Linked DNA regions of Macaca fascicularis. The protein of the gene in region 1 interacts with the protein of each later gene in a pairwise test. Links are inferred from orthologs where the notes say so. Each region holds a gene or a part of one and is shown in the gene's direction. Other genes may lie near its edges. The genes, in order: NFYC, SREBF2 and DR1.

The links.
Region 2: the proteins of NFYC (region 1) and SREBF2 interact in binary tests that used the Homo sapiens proteins (3 or more experiments, as listed by UniProt). The link is inferred for Macaca fascicularis from reciprocal best matches to the Homo sapiens genes NFYC and SREBF2.
Region 3: the proteins of NFYC (region 1) and DR1 interact in binary tests that used the Homo sapiens proteins (3 or more experiments, as listed by UniProt). The link is inferred for Macaca fascicularis from reciprocal best matches to the Homo sapiens genes NFYC and DR1.

What each region holds. Positions count from the first base shown.
Region 1 is NC_088375.1:194,182,173-194,187,093, reverse strand, and holds the start of NFYC (nuclear transcription factor Y subunit gamma), read left to right. Parts: upstream 1-1,724; 5' UTR 1,725-1,726; coding exon 1,727-1,895; exon of another isoform or gene 1,896-2,018; intron 2,019-4,921. UniProt on the Homo sapiens protein: Component of the sequence-specific heterotrimeric transcription factor (NF-Y) which specifically recognizes a 5'-CCAAT-3' box motif found in the promoters of its target genes.
Region 2 is NC_088384.1:9,777,953-9,782,692, reverse strand, and holds the start of SREBF2 (sterol regulatory element-binding protein 2), read left to right. Parts: upstream 1-1,782; 5' UTR 1,783-1,947; coding exon 1,948-2,035; intron 2,036-2,126; exon of another isoform or gene 2,127-2,708; intron 2,709-4,740.
Region 3 is NC_088375.1:141,054,328-141,059,042, reverse strand, and holds the start of DR1 (protein Dr1), read left to right. Parts: upstream 1-1,708; 5' UTR 1,709-2,432; coding exon 2,433-2,652; intron 2,653-4,715. UniProt on the Homo sapiens protein: The association of the DR1/DRAP1 heterodimer with TBP results in a functional repression of both activated and basal transcription of class II genes.

The sequences.
Region 1 (4,921 bases):
GACTCCCTTCAGCCCAGAAGTTCGAGACCAGCCTGGGCAACATGGCGAGACCCCATCTCTACCAATTGAAAAAAATTGAAAAAAGGAAAGAAATATAAAAATTAGCTGGCGTGGTGGCGCACACCTGCAGTCCTAGCTACTTAGGAGGACAAGGTGGGAAGATCGCTTGAGCCCAGGAGGCGGAGGCTGCAGTAAGCCGAGATCGTGCCTCTGCACCCCAGCAACACCCCAGCTTGGGTGACAGAGCCAGACCCTATCTCCAAAAAAAAAAAAAGGAATGATTTTTATCCTCTGTGATGTCAAACTCTGTGGCTGCCTTAAATAAATTAGTTAATCCATCAAATTATAATGTGCTTTTAATAATACGTCATCAGCCCTCTGCATCTAAGCATTCAACCAACCATGGGTCAAAAATATTTTTAAAAATTGTGTCTGTATAGAACATATGCAGACTTTTTTCCTTGTCATTATTCCCTAAACAATACAGTATAACCACTACATGTATAGCATTTACATTTTATTAGGTATTATACGTAACCTAGTGATGATTTAAAGTATACAGGAAGCTGGGCAAGGTGACATGCACGTGTAGTTTCGCTCACTTTGGTAGCTGCGGTGGGAAGATTGCTTGAGCCCAAGAGTTTGAGGCGGTAGTGCCCTGATTATGCCTGAATAGCCACTGCATTGCAGCCTAGCAACATAGTGAGACACCATCTCTTAAAAAAAAAGTATACATGGGAATGTGCAAGTGTTTTATGCAAATACTGTACCGTTTTATATTAGGGACATGAGCACTGAAGGATTTTGGTATCCATGAGAGGGTTGGCTGGGGAGTATCCTGGAACCAGTCTCCCATGGATACCAGGGGATGATTGTATTCACTGATGTTCTAGCTTTTTTGTCATCCCTCCCCCACCCCCCGTTCCCACCTTTATCATTGTATTTCCTTCTTAGGTTCCTGGTTGACATTCTAGAAATGCCACTGTCTCTGCCACTAACTTCATACATTACCTTAAAATTTTTCTATTTAAATTAGTTTGTGTTTTCATATAAAGTGCTTTGCCTTGATACCAGTCTGTGCCTTTAAAGTGCCACTAACATAATGACAGATGCCTTTTAGAAATCTTGCAAACTATTGTATGGCCATTGGCATCACTCTGTTAGTGTTAAAGAAGCTGCATTTTCTTTGCACTAGCCCTACCCAGTTTTTTCTTCTTTTAATGCTCAGCAGAAAACTGAAGATGGTCACAACTTTCCGACCTTGTGCACATTGCTTCTCTGGTCTATTACCATAGGATACCGTAGCAGTATCTTACAGACATCTTTGATGGCCAATCAGCAGCAGTTAAATTACCGTAAATTTTTTAAATGGAACTCTGACAGCCAATAAGAAATCCCGTGGGTGGGAACAGTAACAACCCTTTGGCTTGTTTTTAAGAACAATTCTAAATTTTCAGTATTCTGTTTTAGAAACACATGATTCCCTAGTGCAACTGCTATGTGCATTTGCCAGGCATTTCCACCCCTTAGAGTTCCCCATAGTTTGAAGTCTGAATCTGACCCCTGTTCTGCTTCTCAAGGTAACTTTAAAACAGGAAGTGTACAAAAGAGGTAACTGATGACGTGAACAGCCAATCGTGGCTTTGTGTTCTTAGCCAATAAAGCAGTTCAGCCAATGGGATCACAGTGGAGGCAAGGTTTGGTGTCAAATAGCATGCTAGATTGAATGCCTTTGACTGTTAAAGTGGAAGGAGGCTGCAGGGCTTCATTGGAGCCTCGGAGTTTTTCACTGAGGCAGGGGTCAGCTGAAAGACAAAGAAAAATGGCGAATAGTTTGTTGGGGGGTGGGAGGACAGCTGTTCGGGCTTTCACTGGAGTGGACATTCCAGACTCAGGTTTCTGCATCTCCTGCTGCCTTTTGTTTCCTCCGTCCTTTGGGGGGGAGGGATAGGAGTGACTTAAATTCTCCCAGTCCGAGGAGGTATAAATAACTACATGTAAAATTAATGCAGTTCCCGGTAAGTTTAATTCTTTGTTCTGTGTTGAAATGATAGAAACTGTTTAGCTTCAGAGAGTGTAGACAAGTTGCACTGTTCAGAAAATGGCCACTTTACATTCCATGCATACCTTTTGGTGCACCTAGAATACCTTGCTGTGTTTAGATTTTGCATGTCCTTCAACTAGGATTTCTTTCCTAGTTGACTATCGACAGGATCAGGTACATGGAGAAAGGCTAATCATTTTTCAGGGGCACACAGAAGCAAAACACTTTTCTGTTTGCATTGGGTAAACTTAACTGTTTTCCAAATAATTTTCCTTTGTTCAAGTGCACTGAAGCTTTCCTATGGAATAAGCTGAGTTGTTGTGAGAGTTTTTCTGTTTCCACGCACTTTGTTGACATCTGTGTTTTCAGATATGGAAGCGACACGTTGCTGTTAGAAATTTGTGTGAAAATATGATTTGCACTGCTGCAGGTTCTAATGGTGAAGGCCCACATGCCAGTGTGAAATTTTCCCATAACTTTCTTGATTTACCTGTCTACCTCTAGATTCTAATAAGTACTAATTAATGTAGTAACAGTCTTTGTTTTTAATGCACATTTTAGCTTAGAATGCTGGTTAGAAACATCTTCACTTATATTGACAGTGACAAGAGCAAATCTTTTTCCATAGATTTCACACGTTTTGTCAGGTGTTGATTTAGTTCTTTAAAATGATATGAGCAAAGTGCTTTTCATTTTTCCGTATTAAATATTTTAAATCCTGCAGTTTATGAATAGGAAAGTTAAGAGTATAGGCACCCTATCTTTTGCCCTTGATATATATATATATATATATATTTCTCTTTAGGGGTACAAAGCTAACGTAGGTTGCTAATCAGTAACCGGCCAGTTATTATGAACAGTGAAATCTTGAATCCCACGTACTAAAATCTATAATACACCTGATTTTAAAATGCAATTCTTTGTTTTCTTTTTATTTGCAAATACGGAATGAAGGTCATTGGAACATTTCTGCAGCAGACTCAGTGTGGAGCCGTGAGCCAGCAGCACTTAGTCTCTGGGTAGGGAAAAGGAGCAGGCCCTATTAGAGGAGAAGTTTCAAGGGTGTTGATTTGCCTTCCTTAGCTTCCCCTGTAATAAAGGATTTACCTGAGAGGACTGATAGGATTTAGATTTGGGGCTCTTGGAGTTGGAATGATATAGCAAGTCAAAGTTCTAGATGCAGGCCTCTGTCGTTGCTTTCAAAAGTGACCTTGAAAAACTGCCGGGGAGTTGAAAGATTGAAGGACAAAGTTTGTTTATACAGATTTGGACTGAAAAGCTCTATTTAAGATGAAAAGAGACTGTACTTCTGATATTCAAGTCGAGTGGTTAGTAGGAATATGTTATAGATTCAAATTAGGAGTTTTCAGGGAATAAGACAATAGGGCTGCATTCATTCTCTCTCCCACTCTTTTTACTTCCCTCCCCCCAGCAAAAAATTCTAAATTCTTTTGGTATGATAGCTGAGTGAACTGCCTAACAGATTCAGAATTCCTTGCATGCTACCGTGTCTTCTTTGTAATCTAGAGGGTTCTTAGTGAAGGAATAGTATTTTAGGAGTTCAGAGTAGTTGTATTTGTGAAAGTTTTGGGGAATTGGAATGCTTATAAGAAGAAAATGTTCATTCTGGGAATTTAAGTCCTAAGATAAAGAAGTATGTGTTAAGGATTACATTTTAAGAGGTACTACTTTGATTTAAATTTACTTTTTTAAAGTCATTGATTATTTATATGTTATCAGTTGTTCCAGGTTTTATATATGATTTTAAAAACAGTTGTAGGTACTGTCTTGACCCTGTTGGCCCTACAAGAAGGCCTGTAGCAGGGGAGGCAAAAGTGAAGGTGTGGTACAGTATGAGGTAAACCATAAACTTGAGAACTTGGTGGATTTGGCTTCTTGGAAAGACACCCAGTCACTGCCTCTCGCCGAGGTTCTTCACCATTTTTGGATCATAGACTCTTTGAGAATCTGACCCACTACCTGGAAAAATGCACATGGGCATGCCTGTGCAAAACCTTTGATGACTAAGTTATTTTCTAGTGTATGTCAAATGGTGTTTAACACCTTAGCCAGATAGATGTTTACTAGACAAATGAAGAAAACTTTGCTTCCAGAAAGAGCAAAGACCTTCTAGAGAGCTAACTGTAATTTGGACCATGGGTGGCTGTGTGTGTAAGTGGGGGAGGCTTAGATAGGGTCTAGAGATGTCAACATTTATTTACTCTGATCACAATGTTTGAGGCGGTATGGTACAGACCATTTAAAGTCAAGAGATCTGTGTTCAAGCCCTAGTCACCTTTATCACCAGCTTTGTAGTTTGGGCAAGTCAGCCATTTAGTGTTAGCTTCCTCACATGTAAAAATGGGACCTAAAAATAGTGTCTTATTTAGTGGTGAGTCCTGAATGAGATCATGTGTGTCAAAGTACTTTGCAAATTGTGAAGAACTACGTAATATTAGTTGTTACTAATCCAGACTGTTTGGGGGATGAAACCTTTATGAAGATAGGTGTGGCATCAAAGAAAAAAATGCCAGTATTTTAATATTTTTAAAAAGGAGTTAGTTTAAACCTGACACATGTCTTTTTAAACTGCCTTCACCTGCATATTCCTGTTTATGCTGACATGACCCTATTTATTTAATGCATACGTTGAGACCATCCTTTACTGTGAAAGATTCCTGTGAAAGAATTTTAACCCCTTTGTCAAAATTTAAGAACCTCTCAGAATAAGGTGAAATGGGTATGCTGATTTTTTAAAAAACTCTTATTAGATTTAGGAACCTGTCAGAATAAAATCTGGAAGCCTGTTCAGTTTGCATTATGAGATTTGCATTATAATGCAGGTAAGTTGTAATGGTTGCAGATGTTTACCAAGCA
Region 2 (4,740 bases), on another chromosome or scaffold:
CTCTCATAATTTTAGGTTTCATCTTAAATGTCACTTCTTCAGTCTTCTTGACAGCACAAGTCAGGTCCCTTGTTAGTTTCATCACCTCCATTACCTTTCCTTGATCACTTGTACCATCATCTGTAATTTATTTTTATGTTTAATATGGGTGTGGGATTTCTGTTTTTTTTGTTGTTGTTGTTTGTTTGTTTGTTTTGCTAGACTGGAAGCTCTCAGAGGGCAGGACACATTCTTTTCCCTGCCACAGAGATGGTCAATAAATATTGTCAATTGAATGTGCAAATAATCTCACTTAACCACAGCTATGAGGGATACTATTTTATCCCCATTTTAGAGATGACAAAACTGAGGCTTAGAACAATTAAACAGCCCAAGGACACACAGTGAATTACTGGATCCACGTGTCTGCCTCCACACAGCCTGTTCTTAATTATTGATCACTAAGCAACAGCTGCCTCTCACAAACTGGCAGGAAACTTACTTTTCCCTTTTATCAATATATTGTGAACGCCTCTTCTTGCCAATAAATATACATTTGTGTGCATAATTTTTAATGATCCCTTAGTATTCCATCGTGTGGATGTAATTTACATATTCATTTCCTTATTCTCACCTCTTCCTAGTTACAGTGCTGCTTTTTTTCTTTGAGACAGAGTCTCACTCTGTTGCCCAGGCGATCTCGGCTCACTGCAAGCTCCGCCTCCCAGGTTCACGCCATTCTCCTGCCTCAGCCTCCCGAGTAGCTGGGACTACGGGCGCCCGCCACCACCCCGGCTAATTTTTTGTATTTTTAGTAGAGACGGGGTTTCACCGTGTTAGCCAGGATGGTTTCGATCTCCTGACCTAGTGATCCGCCCGCCTCGGCCTCCCAAAGTGCTGGGATTACAGGCGTGAGCCACGGCGCCCGGCCTACAGCATTTCTTTAAGCATTTGTAATTTTTATTCCTTAGGCTAAATTCCTAGAAGTTTACAACACGACCAGCTGCGAGACGGGGCAGTGAGGTGCTTCAAGAAGTGGAAATTCGTGGGTGGGCTGCGCTTCAGAATCCTGGTGGAACTTTTTCAAAAAACTCATGCCCGGGGCCCCCCCTCTCAGGAGGCCGGCGACGGGCCTGGGCACTGGCGTGGTTTTCAGGTCCTCAGTGGTTCCAAGGTGCCAAGGATTGAGGACCACTGGAGAAAGCGCGAGGTCACGGCGGGTGCAAAGCAGAAGACGTAAAATCCTGACCGCCCTGGGACAATTCGCAACCCTGTCAGCCTCCGTGCCCGCCTTTGTAAGGGGGCTGGGAGAAGCGGGACTTGGATGACCCGGACTCCTCCCGAGCGCCGGGGGGCCAGGTTTGACTCCGCCGGTTTTCTCAGGCGGTCAGGGCGCCGGGAGGCAGCTGGGAAGATGACGTAATGTGCTCCCAGCCAGGGCTGGAGGCGGCCAGCGGTCGCAGGTGGAGGGTGGCCTGTTAACCCTTCACTCCCAGGCCAGTGAACGGACTTGCGTGTGGCGCAGATCCAACGGAGAAGGCAGCGGCTCCTTTAAACAAGGCGGAGAAGGTTAAGATGATGACCGGGCGGCTACTCCGGGCATTCGCTCCGAGGCCGCGAGGGGAGGAACCTCACTATGCAAATCTGAGCTGCTGATCGATGACGCGCCATCACCCCACGCGCCGCCTCGCGCGCCCATTGGCTGAGATGAGCCTGGTCCCATTGACAACAAACAGGGGGGCGCGCGGCCTGGAGGCGGGGCCGCAGGGGGCGCGGGATGGGGCGGGGGAATCCCGCCCCGCCCTTTTCGTGCGGCGCCCGGGCGCAACGCAAACATGGCGGCGGGTGGCACCCGCCGGTGAGGCGGTACCGGGCGGGGGTTGTCGGGTGTCATGGGCGGCGGCGACGGCACCGCCCCCGCGTCTCCCTGAGCGGGACGGCAGGGGGGCTTCTGCGCTGAGCCGGGCGATGGACGATAGCGGCGAGCTGGGCGGTCTGGAGACCATGGAGACCCTCACGGAGCTGGGCGACGAGCTGACCCTGGGGGACATCGACGGTGAGTGGTTGGTGGGTGGGTGGGAGTGCGGGGGCCGCGCGGGGAGGAAGGGGTTACGGCGGCGCGCCCGGGTGCGCGTGCGCCCACCCCCAGACAGCCCCGGCTCGCGCGGGAAGAACCCAGTGCGCACTGTCCCCCCGGCGGTCCCCAACCCTTCCGGCGCTGCGAGCTTGAGCCCTGCCCAGCCGCGCCGCTCCGGGAGGCCGTGGGATCTGGGGCGCCGCGGGGCCGAAAGCGGCGCGAGGGTCGCGGGTTCCAGAGCACGGGGCCAGGGACGTCGCGGGGGCGTCTCAGGGAGCGGCCTAAGGAGAGCGCGTGGCTGCCGCCTCCCTCGCGCGCCCACACGCGCTTTGCGTGGTCCGCTCTCCCGCCGCCCGCGACCGTGCGTCGCACCTGTCACTCCCTGCCCGGACGCGGGGGCGGCTTTGGGATTCCCGGGGCCCAGCCCCCAGTCTCGGCGCCCCGAATCCCTGGGCTTCTCGGGATTGATCGACGGCCAGGTCGCCGGGTGCTCCGCGAAACTTTGGGCAGCGACTGCAGAAGCAAGTTGCTGATGAAGAGAGCAGTGGCGGCGGCATGTGGACACATCTCTCCGAGATGGAGAGCCGGGCGCTCCTGCTGTCACGCTGCAAAGGGAATTAAGCAGAAGGAATTTTGAGTTGTGGCCCCTCGGGTACGGGCTGGGGAGCGGGTGGCCTTTGTTCCGGCGCCTTAACAGCGGAGTGGAAGAGCTGGTAGGAGCCCAGGGATCCTCTCTTAAAATACTCATTTTGCGACCACGGGAACCACGATTTAGAGAGGGTCAGCGGCTTGCTCAAGGTCACCCGGCTGGTTAGAGCCTAGTTCTTGCAGTTCCTGGGCCAGTATTGGTTTTTCCATACCCCTCCTTTCAGGAAAGAGTCCAGTTGACTAGGCTAGTAATCTTACTAACTCGATAATTGCACTCTTATGTTCTAGGCCCCAAAATACTTTGTATTATTTCACTTCTTCCTCACAACAATCCTGTGAGATATTCTTATTACCCCTATTTTAATACGGTAATTAAAGAAGCTGAGGCCAGGAGATGTTGACTTATCTAAGGCCACTCACCTTAGAGAGCTTAGGCAGAAACACAGGTGCATGGTACTTTTCAGTTTTCAGCATGATTTCATGTCCAGGATCTCACTACAGCCTTGCAGGCATGTATGATGGCTACATCCCCATTGTGCAGATGAAGAAACAGAAGCAGCAGAAGATTCTCTTTTGGGGGAAGAGATAAATGCAGCAGCTAATTGAAAAGAATCTGTTTGCCATTTTCTCATTTTGCTTTTGTAATATTTCTCCCCTTCGTTTGTCCTTGCTTTCCATTTTGGTCATGTGGGCAGTGTGGTAAGACCCTTAATTGAAGCCCCAGTTCTAACCACAGACTCTTTACTAAGTGCTCCTAAATACAGAAATGGGTTAACAAATGGGGGGTGGGGTAGGTGGGGGTTGGGAATATAGCAAGGGCAGCTAACATGTTTTGAGAACTTATGTGCCAGACGGTGTTAAACACTTATACATGTTAATGTTCTCAATCCTCATAACAACCCTGTCAGGTAGAGAGAACCGTTATACTAGTCATCTCCCTCTCACAGAACCTGAAAGTGAGTCCCAGGGTGGTTCATTAATTTACTGAAGATTACAGAGCCAGTAGAAAGTACTGTATGTCTATAGCTGCCTACCCACAAGGGCACAGAAAGAAATTCATATGCATTTTGCATTCCTATTCCATGATCAGTTCCTACTTGTCTTATTTTATTTATCTAACTTTTAAATTTTACTTTTTATTTAGTTATTTTTTGAGACAGGGTCTCATTCTGTCACCCAGGCTGGAATGCAGTGGCACAATCACAGCTCACTGCAGCCTTGACCTTCTGGGCTCAAGCGATCCTCCCACCTCAGCCTCCCAAGTAGCTGGGACCAGAGACGCACACCACCACGCCCAGCAAATTTTTTGAATTTTGTAGAGGTGAGGTCTATTCTTGGGCTCAAATGATCCTCCTGCCTCGGCCTCCTAAAGTGCTAGGATTACAGGTGTGAGCCACCTGATTTGTTTTTTTGTTTTTGTTTTTTGTGACGGAGTTTCACTCTTGTTGCCCAGGCTGGAGTGCAATGGTGCGATCTTGGCTCTCCTCAACCTCCACCTCCTGGGTTCAAGTGATTCTCCTGTCTCAGCCTCCCTAGTAGCTGGGATTATAGTCATGCGCCACTATACCTGGCTAATTTTGTATTTTTAGTAGAGACAGGGTTTCTCCATGTTGATCAGGCTGGTCTTGAACTCCCAACCTCAGGTGATCCGCTTGCCTTGGCCTCCCAAAGTGCTGGGACTACAGGCATGAGCCACCGTGCCTGGCTGAGCCACCTAATTTTTTTTTAGAGACAGTGTCTGGCTGTTGCCCAGGCTGGAGTGCAGTGGCACAAGGCTCACTGAAACCTTGAACTCTTAAGCTTAAGCAGTCCTTCCAGATCAGCTTCCCGACTAGTTAGGACTAGGCATGTGCCACCATGCCCAGCTAATTTATATATATACACACATATATATATATATTTCGTAGAGCCGGTCTCACTGTGTTGCCCAGGCTAGTCTTGAACTTCCAGGCACATGCAGTCCTCCTGTCTTGGCCTCCCAAAGTACTGAGATTACCGGCATGAGCCTCTGTAACCAACCCTGTCTTAATTTGTAA
Region 3 (4,715 bases), about 53 Mb from region 1:
GGCCTCTCAAAAGTGCTGGTATTTTTGAGAGTATGAGCCACTATGCCCGGCCTGAAGAAAATTTAATTAAAATACTGTTTTTAATCAAAGAAATTTTGTTTTGACTAAATTTAGTAGCACTGAAAAACAAGTGTCCACACTTCAGAAATTAAAGAACCAGTAAGTGGTCCTGGAGAAAATGCTAAATGAAAAAATAGAGTAATAAACTGTAATGTCTTCTTGAGAACAGCATACAGGGCTCCGACAGAATGTTTTAAGAAAACATTGTCAACAAGCCAGGTGTCATCAAGAGTAATGAATCTGATGAACCAAAGTGACAAAATGGATTTAAACGGTGTCTTGTTTTTAGAAATTCCAACATCCCACTATTTATATAGCCTCTTATTCCACACGACAGTATGACAAACCTAGTTTGTCTTTTTTTTTTTTTTTTAACGTTTTTTGAGACAAAGACTCTTTCTCTGTCACCCAGGCTGGAAATGCAATGGCACAATCGCAGCTCACTGCAGCCTTGACCCCCTGGGCTCAATCAATCCTCCCACCTTACCCTCCAGAGTAGCCAGAACTACTGTGCCTGCCACCAAGCCCGGTGGAAAAAAAAAAACCCGTAAGAGTGTCATACTGTCATATGGGAGAAGAGGCTATACTATAAACAGTGGGATATTGGAATGAATACACACACACACACACACACACACAGATATTTGTAGGGACGGGTCTCACATGTTGCCCAGGGGGGTCCTGAACTCCTGGGCTCATGTGATCTCCCTGCCTCAGCCTCCCAAAGTGTTGGGTTTACAGGTATGATGAACCACAGCGCCCGGCTGACACACTTTTTAAAATGCAATTTCTGTTTAGATCTTGACACCTGTTGATATTACTAGTCACTATGGAAAGAAGCAAAAACAGTTAAGATGCTCTAACATTTTTTTTTCCCCTGTAGAAGCCAACATGGAATACACCATGAAAACTGTCTAAATGGGAACCTTCTAATACGGCTCATTGTACGCCATGCATTTCCACTACGTTGGAACTGACTTCTACTCTCCTACTTATCTATTAGGCGACTTAGTCGCCTAGTCGCCTCTAGGCAAGTAACTTCTCTGTTTCATTTTCCACGCAGTAAAAAAAAAAAAAAAAGGTGGAGGACTTTAGAGAGCTTTTACCCGAATAAGGTCTATTAGACATCTTCAAAAGCTTTCTCTCCAGACGACGCAGAAACAGGCACACGGGATTCTGTGCTTTCCCCACCTCCCACTCCCAAGCCCAGGCCCCATTCTTCTCACTTTCAATCCTCATTTGGGCTCCTAAAAGAATAGCAAAGAGAGTTCTTTTATCAATACCAGCGCTCCTCTGTCCCCAAATCCGGCTAGGGATGGGTTCGGAGGCCTCAGCTGCTGGAGAGAGGGTAGAGACGATCCTTCCTCGCCCATCTAGCCAGCCACCACCCCTTCCCAGATCTAGCGTCCGGGCCCCTGACCAAGCGCGTGCTTGGAGCTCTCCGGTACAGTGACGCGCGCGCTTGCCCGGCTAGGGCCCCTGTGAAGGAATGGGATCCCGAGGTGCTTGCCAGGACCGCAGCAGGCGGAAGCTGCTGGCAGCGGGAACGGGCGGCTCCCGTCGGCGTGGGTGGGGGAAGGGCGGCAGCCACATCCGGAAGTCGGTCCGGGAGGGAGGGGGAAATCTGAGGAACGAAGCTTCCGGCGGCGCAAAGGGTGTCGGGAGCGGCTTCCTGCAAATCTTCCCTGGCCTCTGGAGGGACCACCGTTGCCGCCGCTTCGGCTTCCAGGATCTGCGTTCGGGTTACGCGGCCACGGTGGCAGCCACTGCGACTCCCACTGTGCCTGGCTCTGTCCATATTAGTTCCCAGGCGGCCGTCGCCGTTCCAGCAGCGGCAGCGGCGGACATGTTGTGAGGCGGCGGCGCGGGTGTCTGAAGGATGGTTTGGCCGAGGCGGCGGCAACGGCTGCTGGCGGCGGCGGCAGCGGCAGCGGGGCCTCGGGCTCTATAGAGCCGAGCCCGCTGGGTACCCGCCCGGTACCGCGGCGAGGCCAGTGCCCCTGGATCTTGCCTCTGCTTCGACGCCGTTGGGGACCAGTTAGGCGACAGTGCCCGCCCCTCTGAGGAGACCCGAAGGTGGTTCCCCAGCCGCTCAAATTTCCGGACCACCGCGCTTTCCCCTCAGCCTGGGCTGTGCTCTCTCTAGAATCCTCAGGCCCCCACTTTCTTCCCAAACTCATCCTAAATCTCTCACACACGCGAGCGTTCCCAGCCCTCAAGCCAGCTCCTCCTCCGTTCATTTTCTGCACCCTCTTCGCGAAGCACCCCCCGGGATCACTCTCCGAGGGCGGCTTTTTGAGAGATCTCCGTGGAGTAGTGGACCAGAGCCGGGGAGTTTTTAAAAGCCGGGGCGCGAGAAACAGGAAGGTACTATGGCTTCCTCGTCTGGCAACGATGATGATCTCACTATCCCCAGAGCTGCTATCAATAAAATGATCAAAGAGACTCTTCCTAATGTCCGGGTGGCCAACGATGCTCGAGAGCTGGTGGTGAACTGCTGCACTGAATTCATTCACCTTATATCTTCTGAAGCCAATGAGATTTGTAACAAATCGGAAAAGAAGACCATCTCACCAGAACATGTCATACAAGGTAAGTCATGTGTGGAAATTGGTTTGAATGAGGGTCTAGGGGAGCAGTCTGCTAATCGCGTGACGCTTTCATGTCAAAGCCTTCATTCCTCTTCACTGGTAAGTAACTTAATGAAAAAGCCAGACTGGCATGTAGGTAGCCCGTGCTTTAAAAACAATCCCTTTGTAGCATTCTTGCAGTACTTTTCATCTAGCGAATACACGTTAAGGAGTGCAAACATTTAGGTCAACGTCCCCAAAACATAAAGAGTGATCTCACTTTACAGCCAGGTAAGCCGAAGCAACAGGAATTGCTTGCCTGAAGTTGAACTTAGATAATAATTAAGGAACGCAGAAGTTCTCCCTTGGAAAATTAAAAATTCAGACAGAGGAACTTCAAGCATGGATGGAGACAGAGCGCCCCTTCCCCACCTGACCTTTCACCAATGTAGAGGAAAAGATTTATTTTCTGAACACATGAGTTAAAAAATTCTTAATATACAATGTGTTCAACGTTGTCAAGTTTATCGTTGTTGAATAAAAGGAGGTATGTTTTCTGCTCTAAAAATGGTTTGATGGTACGTTCATGAATGAGTTACGAAAGCACTCCTGGTCCATTCTGTAAGAAAAGGGTGAACTTTAAATTTTTGTTTTTTTCTTTTTGTTTGCCTTTATGTCGTTTGCTTTGTTCTATTCTGTGGAGATAAGTTTTAAAATCTTTGATTGAAAGTTTATGCAAGTTTTTTTTTTTTAACGGAAAATTTCCCCGTCCTTTCCTGCTGTCATTCTTATTTGGATGCATACACTTAGGCTTTTATTGAACAGCACTTCTGAAAGCTTCAACAGTTTCTTTTATCCTGAAAAGGTTGTGGTCCCGTAATAGGGATTTGGGGGACTGTATTCTAATGGTTTCAGAGAGGAGAAACATATTTACTAGTCATAATGTTTCGGGAATGTACCTTTTGCGATATTTTTACATGTACTCTTGTGAAAGAGTTGTTCTCAATTTGAAGTGAGAACTTGCCTTTCGTAATAATCTAATTAAAAGTATTGATTGCTTGTGAAACCAGGGAAAAAATGGTTAATTTTAATCATTTTGGTAGGCAGGTGGTTGTCTGTCACTTAATTTTTATACTTTAACTTTTTAAAATGTGACTTGCCTGTTGTACTGAAGTAGAGAACACATCTGCTTCTGTTGACCATATCCAATATTTTACTGTCAGTATTGACAAAAGGATTAAATGATTGATTTTTAATCCTTTATGACGTCTTGAAAGTAGTTTTAAAATATATCCTGCCATTTCAGTACATAAGGAGAAAAATCCCTAGGAAAAAGCATATTTGATTCTTAAAACTAGTACTAGTTGTTTTTTTTTTTTTTTCTACTTGATGTGCTGAATACTCTAGCAAGTAAAATGAAAGCCAAGTTGTCTGTTTTTTCTCTTGTGTATTTATTTTTACATTGTATGTGTGATTGCTGTCATAAGTCTTTCACAAGATTATCCAGCACAGATAGCTGTAATTTCTTTTTACAACTCATAAAAAGGAAAAAGAACTTTTTATCAACATTGCCTTTCTAATGAAAATTGCAAAAGATTTCAACAGGGTCTGCCTAAATATTTGTTTACACTACAGAAGTGGGGATCGTTCCAAAAACCTAATAACACATTACAGTCTGTCTTCTTGGGGAGAGTTAATTCTTTTCTAGGATATATTTAGATTTCTGATTGACATGATGGAATAGAAGTGCAGCTGTAGCAAGCAGTATGCTAAATAATTCAACTTTGGAATATGCTAAATTCAGTTTAATGTGTGAGTCAGAAAGCTATAGTGAAAAAGCATTTCCATTGTGTAATGAAGATGATTTGTTTTTGAAAATCATGTATTGACGTGTTATAGTCTTAAAATTTTACCTCTTTTTTTTGTATTATGCTATTGTTAGGTGGATAAGAATCTACATTTTCGCCCAAGAATTCTCCCTAATTGGGGTTGTAGACTTTATACATTTATAATCTCATATTGCTTAATTATTCCAAAGAAGTTTTGTTTTGAGAGGTTAAATTTTTAAAGAAATTCTTAAGGTTT